Drosophila melanogaster: one gene and its partners. The protein of the gene in region 4 interacts with the protein of the main gene of each other region in a pairwise test. Each region holds a gene or a part of one and is shown on either strand. Other genes may lie near its edges.

The links.
Region 1: the proteins of CG7191 (region 4) and Gad1 interact in a two-hybrid assay, tested with the Drosophila melanogaster proteins (one large-scale study listed by BioGRID).
Region 2: the proteins of CG7191 (region 4) and CG5191 interact in a two-hybrid assay, tested with the Drosophila melanogaster proteins (one large-scale study listed by BioGRID).
Region 3: the proteins of CG7191 (region 4) and CG1671 interact in a two-hybrid assay, tested with the Drosophila melanogaster proteins (one large-scale study listed by BioGRID).

The regions. Positions count from the first base shown.
Region 1 is NT_037436.4:4,085,723-4,090,512, reverse strand, and holds the start of Gad1 (glutamic acid decarboxylase 1), read left to right. Parts: upstream 1-1,768; 5' UTR 1,769-2,301; intron 2,302-2,808; exon of another isoform or gene 2,809-2,932; intron 2,933-4,669; exon of another isoform or gene 4,670-4,790. Other genes in the region: CG14989 (uncharacterized protein), read right to left, coding at 1-240, 371-474, 1,299-1,546. UniProt on the Drosophila melanogaster protein: Catalyzes the production of GABA.
Region 2 is NT_033777.3:20,559,265-20,563,901, reverse strand, and holds the start of CG5191 (uncharacterized protein), read right to left. Parts: upstream 3,038-4,637; 5' UTR 2,604-3,037; coding exon 2,603-2,603; exon of another isoform or gene 2,546-2,602; coding exon 2,491-2,545; intron 1,417-2,490; exon of another isoform or gene 1,259-1,416; coding exon of another isoform or gene 1-1,258. Other genes in the region: CG10877 (uncharacterized protein), read left to right, coding at 1-1,258; CG15922 (uncharacterized protein), read left to right, coding at 3,855-4,004, 4,066-4,119; CG5180 (uncharacterized protein), read right to left, coding at 4,315-4,637.
Region 3 is NT_033778.4:9,846,092-9,851,188, forward strand, and holds CG1671 (uncharacterized protein), read left to right. Parts: upstream 1-1,969; 5' UTR 1,970-2,033; coding exon 2,034-2,059; intron 2,060-2,118; coding exon 2,119-4,456; 3' UTR 4,457-4,551; downstream 4,552-5,097. Other genes in the region: Orc6 (origin recognition complex subunit 6), read right to left, coding at 1-182, 239-303; Prosalpha7 (proteasome alpha7 subunit), read right to left, coding at 640-814, 982-1,547, 1,606-1,626; PCB (pyruvate carboxylase), read right to left, coding at 5,046-5,097.
Region 4 is NT_033779.5:7,765,764-7,773,639, forward strand, and holds the start of CG7191 (uncharacterized protein), read left to right. Parts: upstream 1-1,864; 5' UTR 1,865-1,954; intron 1,955-5,498; 5' UTR 5,499-5,556; coding exon 5,557-5,842; intron 5,843-7,305; coding exon 7,306-7,487; intron 7,488-7,701; coding exon 7,702-7,876.

The DNA of each region.
Region 1 (4,790 bases), on a different chromosome or scaffold from region 4:
CTTCCTCGACCGATCCTCTCCGTTCGGCATTCTCCGCGGCTCTGGAACCGTGTGTTGGATCGCCCAGCACTCCACTGGCCTTCTCCTCGTCCTTTCGAACCTCCTCCTGCTTCTCCTCCTCCTGCTTCCGCTCCTTCATCACCCTCATCCTGCGCACCTCCTGCTGGCAGGGACTGCATCCGGGCAGGGAGCGACCCATCTGACCACAAAAGCTCGAGCAGACCAAGTCGCCCGCTTTAGCTGGAAGTAAATAAGTGCATTTGATTAGTATGTTTATTTTTCAAAAAGCAAATTAACCTTAAGTTCGACCATAATAATCATTAAAGTATAATATTTTGAATAGAGTTTCAATATATTATTTTCCACTTACCCCTAGGCAGTCCACACAGTTGCCGGCACTTGGCCACATCCGTCTCCGGTCTCAGGATTGTGTTTTTGGCCACATCAGGCGTTGAAGCAACGCCCAGGCCAGCTCTGCAAGGATCAACCATAAAATGCTGATTAAATTGCAATGCAGAGTAAATTAAAAAAAAAAAAGATTTAAGATGACAGTATATGACACTCGCATTACCAAGTTAAGAACCATGATATATGCATAATTGTTATTGAAACTAGGTTTACAGATAACATAGTTTTAAATAGCACAAATGATCTAGGAAAATCTCGACTTGATAAACTGTTTTTTTTTTTTGTAAAAAATATATTTATTTCAAAACATTTTTAAATAGTATTAAACACCAAATTAAAAAATAATGCAGAGTATATTTTAAATATAAACGCAAGCCAAAATGTTCTAATTAATAATATTTGTAAATTATATATCGTAAAATTGTGAAATAATTTTGATTAGCTTTGACCCGACATTTAGAATTTATTTTTTAAAGCCTATTCAATTTTTTAAGTGAGCACAGTACTTCTGGCGACTTCGAGTGCCATTTATACTTAACATATTTGGCACTTGACAAACTACTGCACACACGCCACAAAAGTCGAGTCACGAATCATTGATATAGCCACCGATCATCAGGAATGCGGATTATATTTCCCTGACACACGCGATTGTGGGAAAACCTCGATGGAAGCCACTTGAAAGGCCGACGCGATTTGCAAATGATTTCTCAAGGCCAACATTTTAGTTGGTAAATGTGTCGTATTATTATCATTATTAGTTTGCACTTTTTTTTGTGTTGGGGGGAAACCTGCACTTGCCAACAATAAACACTTGAGTCACTTTGCGCCGAGGCACCTTACTTTCAGTAATTCCTAGAGTTTTCGATTGCTGTTTATCCGAAACTTACCCGCAGAGCTCTTTACACAGCAAACTCCAATCCTGAACTGCGCTGATGGTTTGGACGTCTTCAAGGATTTTGGCTGCTGAATGCGCTGCCGTCGGAGCAGCATCCCCCAAAGTGTCGTCCTTCAGGACGGGCGATGACGTCACAGCCTGCGCCTGCGCAGCCAGGATGAGGATTGTGACCAATGGTATGACGAGCTGTAATCCACATCCCCCCATTTTTCTCTGTCGCTTTTCAACACGCTCTCCCATCGCTGGGCTGAAAAGAGATGGGTAGATTACGGAACTGGGGGATGGGTTTTTCACGCTGGTTTGGGGCGTATTATCCTCCAGGGAGGACTGGGCCAAAATGGAGACTGTTTGGCCCCGTACAATAGGAGCAATTGTGCTCGAAATGCAATTATCGCGCTCTCAAAAATAGGCAGCAAAAAGCAGCGTTTGGGGTACTTGCCTGCGGGGCCTAATCCTTACACCATTGTTATCCCGAGCATTTGCTATCCGAATATCATTCGCTTGATTTGCCAAACCGAAAGGGGTTATGCAATCGCCTGTCTTTCGAACGCAACTGAGACTCCCACCTGGCATCCTGGCATTCTGGCATCCTGACAACGCTTTTGCAACGGGATTCTCGTCGAAAATACCTCACATAAATGCCTCAGCTAACCAACCTGCTGGAATCTTATTTTGTCAGCGTAATGACAGGCTAAACAGTCGAAATTCCCAAACTCCCATTTGTTTTCCACGGGCAACGAAAAATGTTCATGGCCCCCGGGGTGCGGAGCATTCCCTGGCCCACTGTGCTTCTGATGCCTCTGGCTGGCAGTTGAGAGTCGAGTGCCAAAGAGGACGCTTCGCCCTGGCCAGAAACGCCCGGTCTGAATTAGCCGCCCGAGAATAGCAGACCCAAGCTCCCAGCTCCATCCGCATCCGTGGGTGGCACTTGACTCCAAACATTTTCGCCTATCTGGGTTACAGGGCCTACTTGCGCTACGTGCAATCACAGCCAGGTGAGCATCCTATTTTCTGGTCGAGAGCTCATCTCATTGTTCAATTCCATTCGCTAGTTGTGCTCTTATGAAAGGGTATCGATCCTGTCTAACTATTTCTACTGATGCAAAGTATCTATCTCAATTTATTTATCTGCTATCATTAATAATAAGGAATGTTTATAATGAAGTATTAAATATTTAATGACTGCATAGTTTTATTTTTTGATAATTTTACAAATCCCTTTCAGCTTTCTAGTTTGATTAAAATCAAATAAATAGTTCTTCAAAGCTTTGTTATTTTTAGTAATATGACTATTCTTTTAACTAAAATATTCCTTAAAAATGTACATATAACTTTTAAAAGGGACTGCAAGGCGACATGCTTGTATTGCAACCATTATTTTTGAGAGTATTTTAAACATCGCTCTTAAAATGGCTTAAACCCATAATCCTTTTGTTTGTCCATGTCTGCTGCTGTTTCTGTTACTGTTTCTGTTTCTGTTTCCGTTTCCTGTTACAACTCACTGTGCTTTTCCAAAAGTTTGACTCAATTAAATCCGATTGTTCGTGGCACCTGCTCCGCTCGAAATGCTTAAATCCTTAACTCGACGGGATTTATATAAAGCTGTCCGCTACAAATGGTAGCAGTTGTTCAACTGAGCCCAAACCGGCCCAAACGAAAATCCCACTTACTAATAATAAATGTTTTTGATGGCTTTATCTGCCGGTGTCATAGATTCAAGTGCGAATCAGAGGATAGACTATCGCAGATACACCCGATCCCCCCCTCCTTTTCAGACTGGTCTGTTTGCCATATATCTGCGATAAGTGCAGACCGAGTGCCTAATTATTATTGGTAGCACATGCCGTTGAAGTGCTTTTCAGATAGCAGGCGACTTTATTTCGCCATGTTTAGTGGTTCTAAATACCATGAGCTGTTTTTGTATCAGAAATATTTGTCTGACACTTGTGATGGATGGGTTTTGTTAAAGGGTTACGCAGATGTTAAGGCGTAGGGTGCAAATTCATATCTATTAGGCGCCATATTTGTCACTTAAGGTCTTCTAAAATGTTTTTATTGTTTCAAGAAAGCAATTGAGCAATTAACAATTAAAAAACTGCGAAGAAAGTCCTTTCACACAGTTGTTGCCACATCAAAAGTAACGATTTCGTTGTGCAATTACGGCTTTATGGACTTTCTGCAACTGCCGTTGGATTTCTTCTAGCTAGTGCTACAAAGTAATGCACTACGCCCTATGAGAATGTTTTGAAAGTCATGTTGAACAAGTGTCGACTTCATTTTGCCAATATTGCAGGCATTCAATAAAAAAGATGGATCACAGGGACTAGCAAGGGAGTTATTGCCACTGTAATGGCCTTCTTAAGTTGCAATCAGTTACATCGAAAGACACTTTTCAAGTGCCAGAGCCCTCGCAACGAAAATACGCTGACGCATTGGATCCTGCCCAGGGAGCAGGAGCTGGAGCAGCAGCAGGACCAAGTGCCAAGTGCCAAGTGTGTGGTAACATCCTACGCCAGCTGCTCCGTGTGTCAGATAAGAATGGAAGTGGAGTGGGTGGAACTCTTTTGCGGCAAGTATTCCTAGGGTTCTCGTTGTTTAAGCTTCTCCAGTTTGATGGACGTCCTTTTTGGTCCTGCTGCTCCTGGGCTCTTTACCCAAGTTGCATAACATGGCCATAGATGTTCTCTGGCCCTCAAAAGTATGCTACGAAACGCGTTCTATTGGAAATGATGCAATTTCACTCTGAGATACATATCTATTTTGCATAGCCCAAGTGGGCGGGCGGCCTAGCTTTGACCCAAATTTCGTTTTTGTTCTATATACCAGGAATCTATATGCTTTGGCTTCTATATCTAAGCGCACATATGTACATATATGCGGGAAATGAAAGTAATTATAGGGTTATTTTTTTTTGTTTCATTCGACAGGAAACTCTCATAAAAAGTTGTGGGTCATTGTAAATGTCAGAAACAGTGGCAAAATTAGTTTGTTAATTAGCTTTTCATTTGGTCGCCCCATCACAATCTATATTTTCCTTTCCCTTTATCCCGTTTTATTATTTCTTTAGCATTCACCAGGCGTGCGCACATATTTCATGTGTATCTGTTGGATACTTTGGGGCGCGCATGGCCGAAGCTCCGCCCACGCAAAATGGCCTTAACAAAGATGGTTTCCGAAAAATCAATGACGTCACCCGGAGAATTTCCCGCATTTTCCTCAGCCCCACTGTTGTTGTCGTTGTCGCTGAAGGTTATGCAAGAGATTGAGGAGTAGTATGTATATACATAGGTACGCTTGTAGTGGTATATGGGCAGCCATTTTTTGGATGCGAAAAGCTTCGTAGGCAACTCAGGCGGATGCTGCTGCTCATAGCTCCGCAGATCGTCAGCGAGTGTAGGCTGCTCAGTTCCCTAAGTTTCCCAAACCGAAAGTGAAAGTTGCCCGAAACCTGTGAACCTGTGAAAATATATATACATTTCAAATC
Region 2 (4,637 bases), on a different chromosome or scaffold from region 4:
AAACTTCGCAGCCGTTGGCGATAAAAACAACGCAGCCGATAATGCTAATGCCAGCGATGTGGACGAACGCCACCCGCTGCATGGTATCCGGATTTTGGACCTATCGCGCATCATCGCCGGCCCCTATTGCACCATGGTTCTGGCGGATCTCGGCGCGGAAGTTATCAAGGTGGAGCGTCCACACTTTGGCGATGAGGCGCGTAAGTGGGGACCACCCTTTCTAAAGAACAGCAACGATGCCGCCTACTTCCTGGCTCCCAATCGCAATAAACGGAGCATCTGCATCGATATCAAGCGCGGCACGCAACTCCTTCATCGCCTGGCCGAGATTAGCGACGTGCTGGTGGAGAATTATGTGCCCGGCACCTTGGAGCGTTACGGCCTGGGCTACGAGCAGTTGCGTAAGGTGAATCCCAAACTGATCTATTGCTCAATGACGGGTTATGGCTCTGTGGGACCGTATGCCAAGCGACCCGGCTACGATGTGATTGCCTCCTCGGTTGGAGGACTGATGCACATCACCGGCGAGCGGGATGGACCGCCCAGCAAGGTGGGCGTGGCTGTGACGGATATGTCCACAGGACTGTACGCCCATGGAGCAATTTTGGCAGCCCTCTATCAAAGGACCCGCACGCAACGTGGCCAGAAGATCGAAGTCGACCTGTTGTCCACCTGCTGCTCCCTGCTGCTCAACGTGGGTAGCAACTACCTGAATTCCGGGGTCGAAGCAGGAAGGATGGGCACCGCACACTCCAGCATCGTTCCGTATCAGAGCTTCAAGACGAAGGACGGCTATCTCACCCTGGGCACTGGCAGTGATGTTCAGTTTGTGGACCTGTGTCGCCGCCTAAAAGTGGAACATTTGGCGCAGAATCCCAAATTCAAGACCAACAAGGATCGTGTGACCAATCGAGTGGAGCTGCTGGGAATCCTAGAGCAAATGCTATCCGAGGACACCTCGCGCAACTGGATGAAACTTTTCGAGGGCGCCTCCTTTCCCGTGGGACCTGTTAACTCCATTCCCGAGGTCTTCGAGGACGAGCATATAAAAGCCATTGGCCTGGTGAAAAGCCTGCGGCATCCCAAGGACGAAACAGTCAAGGTGGTTGGTCCTCCTGTGACCTTCAGCGAAGCGCGAAACGATGCCCGGACAGCTCCTCCGATTCTTGGCCAGCACACGGATGAAGTGCTGGGCGAACTACTGGGTTACGGGCCGGATGAGCTGGCCAAGCTGAAGAAGGATAACATTATTCAGTAACCCGATTGGGATTTCGGACAGTCTAAAGTGATTTGAATTCCTAAATCCTCTGATATATACTGCTTTATATGGTCTTTTGCGACCAATATTTTAGTGATAATCATGCATTTACCATTAGACCGACTAAAGGCCTTAAAAAATAAATGACAATTTCTCATAAAAATGCAACGAATAACATGAAGAGGCTGGACTAACGATCTGATAGCTAAGTAATACAAAGTCGTTAGCGGAATTTCATTAGAACTCGATTTGCTAACTTCTACGACGGGGTCAAAAGACCATGAAAAAGGGCAAAGATTATTTTTCGTATAATCTCGTATGTGTCGTAAATATCATGAAGTAAATGACTGTAAACATTTTGATTTTTACCTAGTTAAGGTACGATGTATACGCAACCAAACAAATACGGCTAGAAAGCTATTTCCTGGTCGGGGTGAAATATACTGGATTAAACGTCAACACTTAAAGCTATAATCAAAAACACGTTCGTTAAATATCGTCAATTAGTATCTCACAAACTCAAAATGCGATATCTCTATAGAAATCGAAATTAGGCTAAGCTGAAATTCCGAAACGAATGTTACATGGTATAACTACTACGACTGAAAATGGGCTTAAGAACAATATGCGCGCCTTTAGTTTAAGGCAGTAGTTTAAACAATGCATGAGCCATTATGAAACGGTCTTATAAACGGTCTTCAAAGGGTAATGTTCAGATTTCAGCGATATACATAGAAAGATTACATGAAACCAAGCTCCATGGATATGAATAATATATTGCTTAAGCAGAATTATAGACTTTTGATATCATTTCGAAAAATAGAATAGGTAAATACCGGCCAAGCAAATTTAGACTGCGTCAATACGTGAAAACATTCTTTCCACAGCTTCCATCAAGTAGATCATAATATCATAAGATCTAACTGATTATCAAATATTGACCTTAATGTCGATCGAGCTATATGTTGTCTACACAAGAAGTCCTAACGCACTCTACACTTTAAGTCCTTGATGCAATATTCTCCAATGATTCTGCAGTTGTCCATTGACCTCTTTTCTTTGTGACAAGAAGGTGATAGTCGTTTTCTTCTATGGATTTCTATTTCTAATAATAATTTCTATTCCCTGGCCTTGAACGTAATCGCTTGATTGGCCTGTTCCGACAGGCGGAGTAGTAGCCGTGCAGGATGAGTGATTGGGGCGGGGTTCTTGCGCACCGGCGATTCGCTTACCTGAGCCACAGCTCCTCCAGGTGCAAACGGATGACGGTCACTATCGATTTCAGCACTGGCAAAAAGGTCGGATTTAGGGGCAGGTGGCACAACTATGGGTGGGAGAACTCACTTGCAAATCAACCAAAAATACAAATATGTAGGTCTGTATGTGTATGTGTATAAACTGTCCAATGGAGCGTCTGCTCGCCAGGAACCCAAAACTAAAACTGAAACTACAACTCAAATTGCAGGTGCTGTCCAAAATGGAATAGCAACAACAACGGCAGCGACGTCGACGTCTATAACAGAATTTGTTTGTTTTGGCCCACTGTTGTCGTTGTTGTTGTTACTGCCGCTGCCGTTGTTGTTTGTGTGCGCAAAGTGCATAGACCGCATCCGCGTCTTAGCCTCCAGCTTGGCCCCAAAGCCAGCGCCCCATCCGATCCCGCCCACGCCCCTCCGGCGACGCGGGTGTGGATTTCGCACTTAATGGGTTGAGTTGGGAATATGGGAAAAGGTTAGTTGGCGACGCAGTGGGCTATCAATTAACAGTTAGTTAACTGCCTCTTCGCCTTGCCTGCAAAGTGTGACCAGAACAGGGATTGAGACGGGAGGTTACGGTCATACTTAATTTCTAATTTAATTCATAATTTGAAATAAAATTGGTTTTATTGTGACGATAAATTTATAGCTTATTTTACGGTTTTTAAAACAGATTAAGTTAAAATTTCAGATTTCAGCTTATAATTATTTCATACATATTTTCTAATTTTTCCGAATTAGTTTGTCCACTAAGAACTTTAAGCACCTAAAATTATTTTTCATCTTTCTGTTATTTGAATTCAAAGCTTAGACAATTTTAACTTGTACGTAAAGTAGTATAATTACACATTTTTGTTTTTTAACTATTATAATCTTATGTTAGTTATAAAAGCGAAGGACCTTACCAGTTACTTCAGGCCTTCTATAATCACAAAAAGTCTTTAAAGAATTTCGCAGCAACTAATATACCCTACGAGAAGTGAAGTTCCCCTTTACAATGCCATTGATCTACTCTAACCACCTCCACCGCATTTGTTATTAAAACCAGCCACCGCAACAAACTAATGACAGATGCTTATCTGCCCAAGCAATCGAAGTCCCAGACAAAGAATTGCGAGACGTTTAGTTTCCCATTATTATCCCCGAAAACGTTGGACTTTGGACCAAGTTGGGGGAGATAGAAACTTTATTCAAAACTAGCCGCCCGTTTTGGGGCAGCGTTATAGGTTGGTATTTTTCGTTGATAAGATTAAACAAACATCGCAATGCGGTCACATCGTCATTGTTGATTTGTGATAGCTGTTAAATAATAATAATTCCGTTTTACGAATTTTGTAAAGATGAGCAAGCAGCCCTCGTTCGTGTCGCGCAACCTGGTGGCCGTCGTGATGATCCCCAGTCTGGTGGGGATCCATCTGGGCTGGAGCTACATGCAGAGCAACCGAAAACTGGTCACGGAGGCGGAACAGATCGAGATGCCGCCGGTCACGGTATGTTAGTCCTAATTCTTAAGGCGATCACCTCAAGACAGCAGCTCCTCTTTTTGTCCAGTTTGCCAGGTTTGTGTGGAACAAGCTAACGGGCGCAGGAAGTTCGACGGAATGACAAACCCTCTGGTGATGAGCTTAAGACATACAATCTATTTATTGTATAGAATAATTAAAACTACATGCAAACTGTATGGTACAATCGGCTGCTGCCCGGGCGACACATGTTGGCCGGGCTGCAGGTTGGGACACAGACAAAATGGAGATATAAAGCCAGAGACTACACATACTTAGTCTAGGGGGACAAGAGAGATTACTGCGTGAGGGCCGAGTGAACGGTGAGGTTGCCCAGCTGTGCGTTGAATAGAACGTCGCTGATCAGTTTCTCGGCCACGATCCGCTGCGTCGGGTTGATGGAGCGCAGTTTGCTCGCCACATTCACGCCAATGGCATCGTACTCGTCGTCTTGCCGGTGCGATGTGCTCGTAGCCGCTGTGGTGGTATAGGCAGTGGTGCCGGCATTGCCAAACAATGGCTGATAGTGATCGCGGCCTATCTGGATGGTGGGAACGCCCTGATGTTGGCCATTCGTCTGCTGCAGGTGGAGCTGCTGCTGGTGGTGCTCCAGATGATTGA
Region 3 (5,097 bases), on a different chromosome or scaffold from region 4:
TGTTGTTGAGGTATTGGCTCTTTCGCAATCCTGACAATTTCAGTGCCTGCTCCTTGTCGAAAGCGATCCCAATCATGCAGGAAGCGAGATCCGCACACAGCACTATCTTTCCGTACTCGTTGATCTGCAGAGGGACATTCGTGGAGCGCAGTTCCAGGAGGCGTACTAGTTCGGTGGTTTTCCTGAAAGGATTCGATCTTACTGGGTAAACCTTTAAAACTATTTATTTATCGCTTACTCTAGCACGTTTGGCTCCTCCCTTAGGCCCATTTTCGTAATTAACTGTTCTATTAAGGTAGTCATTGTAGTTATTAACAATAGACTGAAATTCCAGTCGTGCGTCGTTAAAACCAAAATAAAGTACAACAAATGGCGCGAAATGCATCAGCTGTGAGCGATAAGGTTTTTCTTTGTAGCAATCGAGGTTTAATAGCTGCAGGCACATTCAAAAGGAACCAGATCCGATAACCAGCGAGCCAATATATTTATATCGAACGATAACTATTAAAGAATGAGAGTATAAAAATATAAAAACCTTAAATTTCACCCGATTTTGTTTATTCATTTTGCGCTTTAGGGAAATATAAAATTAACATTATGTATGAGGCCCAGAATTAGATTCACTGGCACACAAACGAACTAGTGCGTCTCATTGTCGCTGTCTTCGTCCTTGTTGGCCGCATCGCCGGCTTTCCTCGCCTTCTCCGTCAGTTCTGAGGGATTTATGAGATGTAGGCCACCGGTTACCCTGCCCACCAAACCCATTTCGAAGCGGAAGTCCTTGTCCTTCAACTCGTCATGGACTTTGTAGATGCTAAGACATAGGATAGATATGTTAATTATGAATAAAAACCTAGATTCTAAGTGCAATAGATGTCCCAAAAATGCTTCCTATTGTCAGAGCAAGTAAGTTTCCACTCGGAACTAGGATAAAGCCCGCCCGATTTTTGAAACAGTCCCTTTTTTTTGCTGTAAACGTACATTTCACCAGCGCTCTCCACCAATTCGTCGGTCCTCATATCCATCTTGAGCTTCTCCATCTCAGTCTTGGCCAGCTGCTTGGCCTTGCCGCTGGCGCAGGCGAAGTAACCGAAGGAGGAGCCGGACGGCTCGATCTTGTAGAGCTGTGGCCCCTCTACTTCGTCCCAGGAGGCGAGAATGATGGAAAGTCCGAAGGGGCGGACGGCACTGTACAGAGTGTAGGCGTGAACGTAGCCGGCGACTCGGTGGCACAGGTGTTTAAGCGGGATAGCCTGCTCAAATTGCTGTCTGTAGTTGGCTGCCTCCTGACGCGCAATGTCAGCCACAAAGTTTCCATCGGCCACCAAGCCGGCCACCGCCATTCCGATGTTCTTTTCGATGGTGAAGATGCGTCCGCCGGCGTCTGGTTCGTACAGTTTACTGGTGATGATCTTCTCCACGGCCAGCACCACGGCGTCCTTGCCCCGAATCCCGATTACGGTGCCGCTCTTCTCCACCGCCTTTGAGGCGTAGTCGATCTGGAAAACGCGGCCATCAGGCGAAAACTGCGAGGCCGACAAGTCGTACTGGAAGCGAGAGGGTGACGTTAGGGATCTGCAGATATGTAGTTCGCTGACCACTTACTCCAGTGCCAATAGTACTCATAGCGAAGACTTTGTGAAAATTTAAACAATTCAAACGCAAAAATTAGTTTAATTCCTTGGGTCGAATGCGACGATGATTTGACGGCTTTTACTTGGCTAGTGGTGGACAAAACAAAGGGGCCTATCGGTCAAGGAGGTTCGATAGTTTCGGAACGACTATCGTCAATAAAAACCAATCGTATACCAATCGCGATTTTTTCAGATAAAATTCGAATGATTAAAAATAAATCACCAATTCATGGTACTTTATTTATTTAGCACAGTTGAAGTTAATATCATTCTTTTCTTTTCTACTTATACATTTCGAATATCCCCTTACATGCTCTGTAAAGTAACATTTCGAACTAGTTCCGTTCATGTTCTGATCCGCGGCGCACGCGGTTTTTGTATTTATAAACAACGAAAATCATGCTGGCGGGTATCAGCGAGAAAAGGTAACATAAACTTAATAATTACCTGATGATTGCAAGACTACAACAATTTTAAAATCCAGCTATGCGGCGGAGGCCCGCTACACGAACTTCTACGCCGGCGGCGACATCGCCTGGAGCCCGAATGGCCATCATCTTTACTGCCTCAATGGCTCAGCTGTAAACCAGGTGGATGTGCAGACCTCCCAAATCCTAAATAGCTACGGCTTGTCTTCCCCGTCGGCGGATAACAAGAGGCCGGCGGAGCTGGACAATATCGATGTGGAGGAGGATACGATTACTTGCTTCGGGCTGTCACAGGAGCATCTGGTTACTGCCCATCGAAGTGGCCTGCTTAGGCTGTGGCAGCTGGACACTGGGAAGCTGGTGAAGCTGTGGAAGGCGCAGCACAAGGGACCAGTCATCCGAGTTGAGTTTAGTCCCTGCGGCAGGCTTATCTGCACCAGCGGCGGTGCAGATGCCACACTGAGGCTGTGGGACTACTCGAACAACAGCTGTCTGGGTGCCCTCAAGGATTTCCCTGGTCCCGCTTGGCTCCTCGTCTTTCATCCCAATGTGCTGCGCAAAGAGATCTACGCCGGAGGTTCGGATAACACTGTCTATGCCTGGAACTACGAGACGAAGACACTTGTGCACAAGATGCGAGGTCACCTGTCGCAAGTCACCGGCTTGAGCTTTAAGAGCAACGCGTCCGACTGCAATGAAATCGTGACTGTAAGCCGGGACAAGGTTATGATCGTGTGGCAATTGCAGGAGCAGTTGGAAAGCAAGCAGTTGAAGGTTCTTCCCTTGTACGATGAGCTTGAGGGAGTCGTGTACGCAGACGAGGGACAACTGATAATCGTGGCGAGCGGATCGGGCAAGCTGCAACAGGTCGACCCTAAATCTTGGAAGATCAGGGATATTCTTTCTCAATCTGATTTCCAAATTAGTAGACTGCTGCACTGCAGCGAGCTAAAACAGCTGGCCCTGGTCACTACAGAGCAGAATATTTTGGTCTACGACGTTGAAACCCTGGAACCCATTAAACACTTGGTGGGTTACAACGACGAGATCCTAGACATGTGCTTTATGGGCGAACACGATCGCTACCTGGCCGTTGCCACCAACAGCAAGCACTTCAAGCTGTACGACACGGAACACGACATGAATTGCAAGCTGATCGTGGGTCACTCGGATACGGTAATGTCCCTTGCTGCATCCCAAAATCTGCTGATTTCGGTGGGAAAGGACTGCAGCGTTCGGCTTTGGAGGCTTCAGCACGACAAAGATTGCTCGCTTGAGGCTCTGACTCAACAGGCCAACTGCCACACGTCCACTATCGGTTGCGTGGCCATGACGCACAACGGAGCTACTGGCTTTGCATCCGTGAGCCAAGATGGCAGCATGAAGGTATGGCAGCTCGTCAGAAGTAAGGAGGATCGCAACTCGTACTCTTTCAACCTGCGCTACGCAGCGCTTTCCCACGACAAGGAGGTGAACTGCGTTGCATATGCTCCGAATAACAAGCTTATTGCTACCGCGTCGCAAGACAAGACGGCTAAGGTGTGGCTGGCGGAGTCCAACACGCTGCAAGGAGTGTTGCGGGGACACACCCGCGGTGTGTGGAGTGTGCGCTTCTCTCCGGTGGATCAGATCGTGCTCACCTCATCGTCGGACTGTACTCTCCGCATCTGGTCCATCAGCAATTTTTCGTGCATAAAACGTTTCGATCAGGAGTGCACCATACTGAGAGCCGAGTTCCTGGATCACGGCAAGTTCATTATCTCCGCTGCTTCGGATGGCCTTCTTAAGCTGTGGAATATCAAGACCAACACATGTCTGCAGTCCCTGGACGAGCACAACGATAGGGTTTGGGCGCTGGCCGTATCCGCCAGGAGCAATCGGTTCTTTTACACCGGCGGCGCGGACTCCAAGCTGATTCGCTTCGGTGATGTCACTCAGGTGACGCGAAACGAAGCGCTGGACAAGCGGCAGGCCGCATTGGAGCAGGAGCAGACCCTACATTCCCTTCTGCACGCCCAGAAGCAGCTTCACAAGGCCTTCGTGTTGGCTCTGAACCTGGACAAGCCCAAAGCCAGTTTCGATATTATCAACCACTTTGTCCGCAAGCGAGATGAGCCCGGTCTCCGGCAATTGGTTGACCAGTTGAACGTTGACCAGCGGGTTGCGCTGCTGCAGCACGTCAAGGCATGGACCACCAACTCGCGCCATTCGCAGGCGGGCAACATGATCCTCAAGTACTTGATCGGAGATGCTCTTCTGGATCCCAAGGCGAGGTTCTACTACAATGGCAACATGGTCGAGGTACTCACTCCGTACGTCCAGAGACACTTTAAGCGGGTCACCGAGCTGAACAAGGATCTGGCTTTCCTAGAGTTCATTGTCAAGTGCATGTAGGCTTTAGCTTCGGAGCCGTTTCATTCATGATTGTTAACTTAATTCAGTTTAATTAATTTTAGGAAAAAAATAAAGTAGATAACCATACATTACATATTTGTTTCGAGATGTTTAATCACCAATTTCACACTACAAAAACCAGGGCGTTACTTTTTATTTTGTATAACGTTTATTACACAATAGTTAATATAACATTAATAACCACTTACGTATTTACTAGAGGGGGAATCTCGACACAGGTGTTTGCGAATTAAAAATTCCATAATCGTACAAATTTGATTCAAATGACTTGCGGGAAAAGCCCTACGACAAATTTACAAATATACTTGGGCACGAACTTATGCAATCCGATATATTTTGGCAGGGACAGCTAAAAAATTTGACCAGTTACTCATGGTCGATTGATCCTGGAAACACGGAAACATGAATGATTTTGATTCATATAAAAATAGACACAGGCGACTTTGGACAGTTTTATGATCAATCGAACTGACAGAGTCCCTAAGATTATCACTGTTTTCACTTAATTTTACATTGGGTGTGTGCGGTGGCAGCTTAGACAATGGACATTTTGATCCGGTGGCACTGTCTATTCGATAATCATAATGAGGTCCTCGCCCTCCAGCTTCGTTCCGTTGGCA
Region 4 (7,876 bases):
ACAAGTATGCTACAAATATTTGCTCAGCGATACGGATATGCGTAACGGAAAGATATGCGGGCCAAATAGTGTTCTGAAAACCGAATCCTCGAAAGAAGATTACACGGAAAACTAATTTAGTAAATGATAAGGTCCGCTGAGTTTTCATGTGTATAATGATTTTTGGGTAATGATTTATTTTATTTATTTTTACAAATAAATGTATATGATGATATATATTAATTTCATTATAACTTCATAAGAAATATATTTATATATGACATATCAGGCTCTGTTTCCCGGAACACCAACCACAAATTTCAGAGTAATTAGCTGCGCTAATTTGTTTATCATTTTGTTTGGCACGTCGGCACATGGCGAGATTGCATGTGCCAAACCAGAAGGGCGTGACGCATTTGGATGAATCGGTGGCCATTTGGGTGGGTGGACTTCGGACTGATGCAACTTAAGTCGCACAATCCGCTTGCCATAAGGAGCGTAAAGTATGAAGAAGTGGAGGAGAGCGAACGAAATAAATAAAGACGACTATAAATAGCAGGTTCTGGCCAAAAATATGACTTTTGCCGCGCTACATGAGGAAGCCTCCATCCAGTGACACTTTCCCCTGCCCGCGAGCACTTAAACTTTTCAGCGGGCTATTATTGGTTTTCTCTGCGTAAGTGTCATCTTCTGTTGCCCCAGGCGATTTTCAAGAAAACCCTATATATGCTTATTTTCCCGGCCCGCCTTTTAGGCCAAAACAACACACAGTCACACACACATACATACACACACTCAAAACAATAACGAAAACATCGAAGGATCGTTTGGATTGCCCTCCATTACTAACGGCAATTTCACATTAAAGTGTCATCATTTTCAAGGCCTGCGGGCTGCGACGGTTGTTGACATCCGACTGGATGGATGTCCAGACCCTTCGATTCCTCCTCTGCGATTGCCGTGTTCCTTTTGGATTTGCAGTTCAACTGGGAGTCGGACGGAAAGGATGGACTATTGGCCGAGGCCATTGCCGTTTAAGTTTAGGCAGCAAATGTTTTAAATATACACATTAGCTATAAATATAAAATTTGATTATTTTTTAATAAACGCCAATAGAAGGTAAAAAAAAAACAGACATCAAACCCTTTCGAATTAAATTTTATGAGTTTACCACATTTAAATAGATTTTTTATCTTTTTCCAGTATTTATCAGCCTGACTGATAGGCTATATCATCATCGATCTATAAATATAATCGTTGCCTAATTCATAAGTGCAGCAATATGACAATACCATTTTGCACTGGAATATGACAATGCAATTACATTTAGGCGATTCGCTGGAAATTTTCAAATACATTTCCAAACTACCGGCCTGCAGGGATTTCCGCAGCGTCATGCTTGGCAGGTCCTTTGAGGAACTTTGAGACCTCCCACAGAAAGGCGAGATTCCGAGAAACGAGTGACCCGGACTATTCAGAATACGTTTCCGTAAACAGGGCCGTCAACAAAGGCTTCTATCCACCCCAACCCGCAGATAATTTATCACCTTGCCACGTGACGTCTTTTCGCGACTTGTTGTCTACTTTGCGGCGCATATCGTGATCCTGCTGAATAATTGCCACCGACATTATTCATTCGCGAATATCGCGCTAAACTTTTTAAATGTCCCCAAAATATTTCATTGATAAAAACGGCCGTGGCTTCGTTTTCCAAGGAGGAGTGGCCAGTAAAAGCTTGTTTGAAGCTTTTACGCAATTTTTGGCGCCTTTACATCGGCTCGTTGAAATCGACGCACTCGTCATCGGCCGACGATGGCAACGAATCGGTTTCAACTTCGGATGCGGCCTTATAAAAGGAAGCGGCTCCGCGAGTCAACCACGCAGTGTTCAACAAGTAGTAGGTGCAACAGTTGACAGTATTCCGATTCTGATTCCGATTCAGTAACTCAAACGGTTTCCAGGAATATATTTTAAAGTGAGTGTTAACGGTGTATTTCGAATATCAGTCACGCCAAACTCTTTAAGAAGTTTCCAAAAAATATCTTGTGGTCTGTGTTTAATTTAAGCCAGTCGATTTCATAAAAAGGATAACTAAACGTGACGTGAAATCTTAGTAATGCCGTCGCTTTCGTCATCGATTACAGTGTCGTCAATGAAACTCGAAATACGCGCCTAAAAAAATAAATAACAATTTGTGGACATATATTAAATATGCCAAATAAGAACAGGAGAACTCTTATATTTAAAACTATTAAGTGAATTCGTTCTTAATAATACAGAAATATTTTTAAGGCAAAGAAAAGCCAGCTAAAACTTAATTCATTAATTCAGTACTTTTTCTTTGGTAAATTATTTTAATCTGCTCTTATATTTTGAATTGTATCAGAAGATATTTAACACAAAACTACCTTTGGCTTAAAACTGAAAATTACCATAAAGATAGAGCCTAGCCATTGTAAGTTCTCTTCAAAAATAAAAGTAAAATTTTCTTATTTTATTTCACCAACGCTTTTTACAAGAAAACCCCATTTATATGATTAATTTTATATATTATACTAATCTTGTAAATGTTTAACTACAATAATTTATTTTTATTAATTTATTAAAGTTCAAGCTTTTTAAGCACAGAGCATCACAGCTGAACTAGTTAAATTTAAAAATTCATTTCATTGCACTGGTGAGCTTACAAATTTTGGGAAAATTGGTTTTAAGGTTACTCGGGACAGCAATCCATAAATACTTTATCAATGTCAATAACTCAAGGAATTCCCACCAATGCCAAACACAAATGTCAATAAACCAATGAAAATCTAGGAGAAACAAATAGAAAAAAGCATCAATATTTGTTGTCCCCGACCTCGTTCTCTGTTTCAAACCCCTTAAGTTCCACGTGCAAAAATTCCTGACAATCGTATAGAAATTTAAAAAAAAAAACTGAATCAATCGAAAGCATTCCAAAGCTGTTTTCATGTCACAAAAATTCAGCATCCCACAGGATTTTCTCCTGGAGAATGTATTTACTGAAATTGGTTGTGCTATTTCTTTAGACATAGCAACTGAAAAGTATATCTAGAGGTATTGACTTACATTCCGCAGGCTATACTTTTCATTAAAGATTAGTACACGATTTTGTAGTTGGCGAGGATTTAAAACTGCAAAAAAAATACTTATGAATTTCATGGAATTTTCTTGGCTAGCACCCTTTTTTTGATTTTTCGTAGCAATCATTGCCGTCTGTCTGGTCCTTTGGTTTGGCTCAAACACTTTGTGTAACCTTTTGTGTGCAAATTTTGACAAGTATCCCAGATGGTCGGATTCAATAAGTAGAAAAGTTATGTAATATCCTACCCAGGATTGTTACGCACGTAGACCGTGTCTAATTGGCCGGACTCCGGCGACAAAATGTCCGATGCACTTGACCAACTCCACATCCTTAGCCCTAATTAAGCAGTTTTTCCGCCACACATGTCCAGGTGGTACGTAGGCGAATATAGTGGCAGATAAGGCCTATGAAAATTCCTTTGGGTTCGTGTGCGTTTCGGTTACACTTCAACTCAATTTAGCAATTAGCTGTGCGGTTATTGCGAAAAGGAAAACAGGCGACGGGTAAAAATGAACGTACAATTATATATGGGTTCCTGAAACTTCCCTCGCTTCCAAGTTAATTTCATTTTACCTTGGGGACATCGCCAACCAGGGTGAATTCCCTTCTTTTGCTTTTTTTTTCCTATTTTTTGTTTTTTGGGCTCTGTCCACTTTTTGACACTGTGTCAACAAGTTAATTAAGGCATTTTAACAACGATTCGTGTTTGCTTTGTTTACTTATAATTCGTTCTCTCCGCAGCAATTTCGAATAAGTTGTGCTTTCCCAAAAATAACGCCAAAGTGTCGCCCACTTAAGTGAGTGCCAATAAAAGAGGAGTAATTGAAAAAGTTTTCTTGCAGGAAATGCCCGAAGAAATTGCAATTTATTTCCAAAATTAATACCAAAAAAAAACAGGAAAATCGCAATGCACTTAAAGACCTAAATCTACGAGAGAACATTGTTCGCAAATATTTTGACAAAGTTGCAAATTTTCAATTGAATTTAATCAAAACGTGACGAAAAGTGAAAAGAAAATCATCCACAGAGAATTTCTCTTTCTCCGAGCAATTTTAATGAACCAAATGCAACCGTCTTTATTTTTTTGAGAGGGCGTGACAGAGTTGATTTGCTTGATTGATTTATGTGGTTAACTAACCATATAAATTGAGCTAATTTCAATGTATTTATCTGTGAGGTAGAACAGATTTTCTGGAAAATATTTTAATAAAGATTAATATTATTAAATTATAGAATTATGTAATAAATTATAATTCCTTAAAAAAACAGACGCTTAAACTTTCGCAGCAAACAGCGCTTTAATTATTTACCAAGCCCTTAATTAAATAATGAACTTTGGATTTCTTGGTGAAAATTTTCACACTTTTTTGTCGAAATTTGTCTTAGGCATACATTATTTTCAGTTGCTTGGGCAGACAAATTAAGCCGATCCTAGACATCTCAACCAGCGAGACCGCAAGTGCCAAAAGTTTCAGGCAACTCATTTATATTGCTCGTCAAGCGAATGTTTTTTAAACGCAAAAAAATGCGATAAGGTTGGCGGGTTTCCCCAAAACCCCAACAACCAGGCTCCTGAGCTAAATGGGCTAAAAATACGCTGCGAAGGAGTTAAGCCCACTCGCTCACTTCGGCGACGTCCCATCCTTAATTAAATGAAACGACAAAGCGCACAGAGTGGGCCCAGTATGAACCGCGATGCAGTACCTGACATAAAAAATATTTATAAAAGCACACAAACACCTACTGCACAGTGGTGGAAATCTATGCGAAAAGTAATAGCATTCTTATCAATTTTAATTAGAAACATCTTTCGTTAAAATCTACAAGAATTATAGAGTAGCTTTCATTTGTCTATAAATAAATGGGATGTTAAAAATTAGGCAGTACTTTTTAATATTCGAATATTAATATAAATATATTATTTTTCTGATAGTTGAATTGTGTAATTTCTACTTTATAAACAACATACTGCATCCGTCTTTGTTATTAACTATTTGTCTGCAAAGTACACAACCTTTATATTTTTACCCAATTTTTAAATAACGGCCTTAGTTAGTGGAAAAGGAGTAGAATTTGTTTGCCCGTATGGCCCACGGTTCTTCGCGCGAAGAAAGATTAAGCAGGAGCGCAAAACAAAAGCCCCAGAATCAGCCGCCAAGTTATCCAAGAGACGCCCTTTTGACGTTTGGCACCCACCGCCCATTTCTCCAGTTTCCCTCGCGATTCTCCTACTTTTGGCGGGGGTTTCTTGGTTGCTTGCGTGTTTATCTGAGTATTGTTTGCTTGAGCACAAAGAGACGCCCACACGCACGGCATAATGGGGCGGATGGGGTAGGTATCCATCCCATGGCCGTGGTAGTGACGGTAATTACCCTCTTGTACAAACATCTACGCTTTTTTTTTTTTTGCCTTCCAGAGACATCCACATCGCCAACGACCCGCGCACTAATCCCGAGCTCATCCGCAGAGGCTGTATGAACATGAAGCCCGACATCCTAGCGCTCTGCATCCTGGCTACCACGATCCTGTGCAGCAGGACGCGTCACGTCGCCGGCTTCCTGACTGCACAGTCCACCGCCAGCGGAGGAGCAGGCGGAGCAAACGGTGCCAAAGTGGGTGACCATCAGGGCGTGGCGTCCGTACCACAACGTCTTCATTTGCCCGTTCTAGCGGTCGGGGGCGGACCCGTTCGCCAAGGACCCGCTCTGCCCGGCGATGTCCTGGATGCCCAGGAACGAGCTGTTTACGATCCCGGCGATGGTGAGTCATAAACATCCCTATTACCGCTTTCCTTGCCATGGTAAACTTCCCGGGCATCAGCTAATCCCCAGTCGAATTAAAAGGATAGCAACTGCATCCAAAGACCATTTCAATTAAATTGTTATCGGGTTCTTTTTGAATGCGAAGACGTAATCGTGGTCAAGGTGAATCCTATAACCAAGCTATTCCATCGCCCTATAAAAATATATAGACCTTATTTATATTAGCCAAATTAATAGGCATTCTGATCCATAAAGCTGAGGAACTGGAACTGAATCTGTTCAGGAACTTTAATAAATGAACTAGTTATTTTGTTGTCATTTAGCTATTTTTCTAAAATATTTTCAATATTTAATGGCAGTTATGGCCTCCTATTTACTCCTCACCTGAGTACATGATTACGTTCAAAATTTTTGCTTGCCGACTTTTAGGCGACCCATTCGAAAGGGGTGGACCAAGAGTTAGGGTGACCCATGGCGTGCACTTAGCCGTAACCGTCGCCCACCATCTCTATCCCTAATGGCCATGGTGACCACCGCTCGCTGAACATTTTCGGTCAGTGCACAATTTTTCAAGTGCCTCACATTGTTGACCATCGCACAATATGTGGAGCATGTGTTTGTTTGTGCTGAGCACTTAAAACGCCCACCAAACTGCCCGGGATAGATTTTCAAATTTGTTGACGAATTTGATTCGACGTTTGCGTTTTACGTTGCTACCACCTACCTTCTACCAACCGGCAATAAAATGTCATATCCGATTTTCAATAAGCGAACTTGTTTTCCAAGCGATTTGATAGATGGGTAAATGGATTGGAAATTTAACGAATATCGATTTGGTTTGAGTTGGTAACATTTGAATTTTTGGACATGATCTTATAAACATACATATATGAAACAAAAATTTAAATTTATTTCTGTTTCTGATCTCGAAACTATTTATTTCAATTGAGGAGTCCTTAAATTTAAAACTGTAAATGCTTTGGGTTCATGAGCGTCCGCTGTCTGCGGCTCTTTGAAGAGACATCGAGTGGACAGTGATGGGCAGACTGGATGCCAAATGCGACAAAAGGCAGTCAAGGAGTTGCAGTGCCTGTTGACTTGACTGACGGACGTGGTCGAAAAGCCGAGAAGGCTTCCCCTGCCGCGGAGGGGAAAAGGAATGCTGTGGCCATAAACTCATTGCCGCCAGTCAATTTCCGCCAGTCCATTGAAACGACCGAAGAGCCGGGGGAAAACATATTCCAGCCAACCAGGACAGACAGACAAACAAACTATTCAAACTTTCAAATATCAAACGGCGGAAGTTTCCGATGGCAAGGAGCAGGAGTCGGGGAATTAAGTGGGAGTGGGAGTGGAAGTGGGAATGGGAATGGCAATGGCGTGGTTGTGGTCGGATTAGCGACAGCTTGAATAAACATTCAAATCGCAAATAAGGTCTTTGGCTTGCTCATTTCACGGCAGAATTACTCCGCGCCCAGGAGCTCGGATTGGCAGTGGTTCCTCAAGGTCCCGACTACGCGGATGCGGTGTACAACGAACTCGAGCTGGCCAGCAAGTTCGAGGTGCTCAAGAAGATGGAGGAGGATTTGCGTGCCGAGCAGGAGCTGGTGGACAAATCCGCTTTGCTCATGAAAATGCTGGAGGTGAGTGCGAAGACAGGCTGTCGAAATTTCGATGAAAATGTTGAAAAATACACGGTAAATTAAATTTTTTTAAAATATTAAACATAAACATCAAAACATATTAGCTTTTGCTTATAAATAACTTTTTGAGTAATGCATACTTAAGTGATAATATTTTTAATTTTTATTAAAATTTTAACACAATTTTTTGATCTATGTGCATTTTTTCGCTCAGGATCCCTCATTGGAAACCTTGCCCTTGGTCTACGTGGAGGAGGAGGAGCCGGAGGCTGTGATTCCTTCCGGCGGAGCCGAGGACTACGCCGACTTGGAGAACGCCGTTCAGGATTTGGTTTTGGGCCAGAGCAAATCCAAGCGTTCGCGCTACTATCGAAGGTATCCATGGAAGC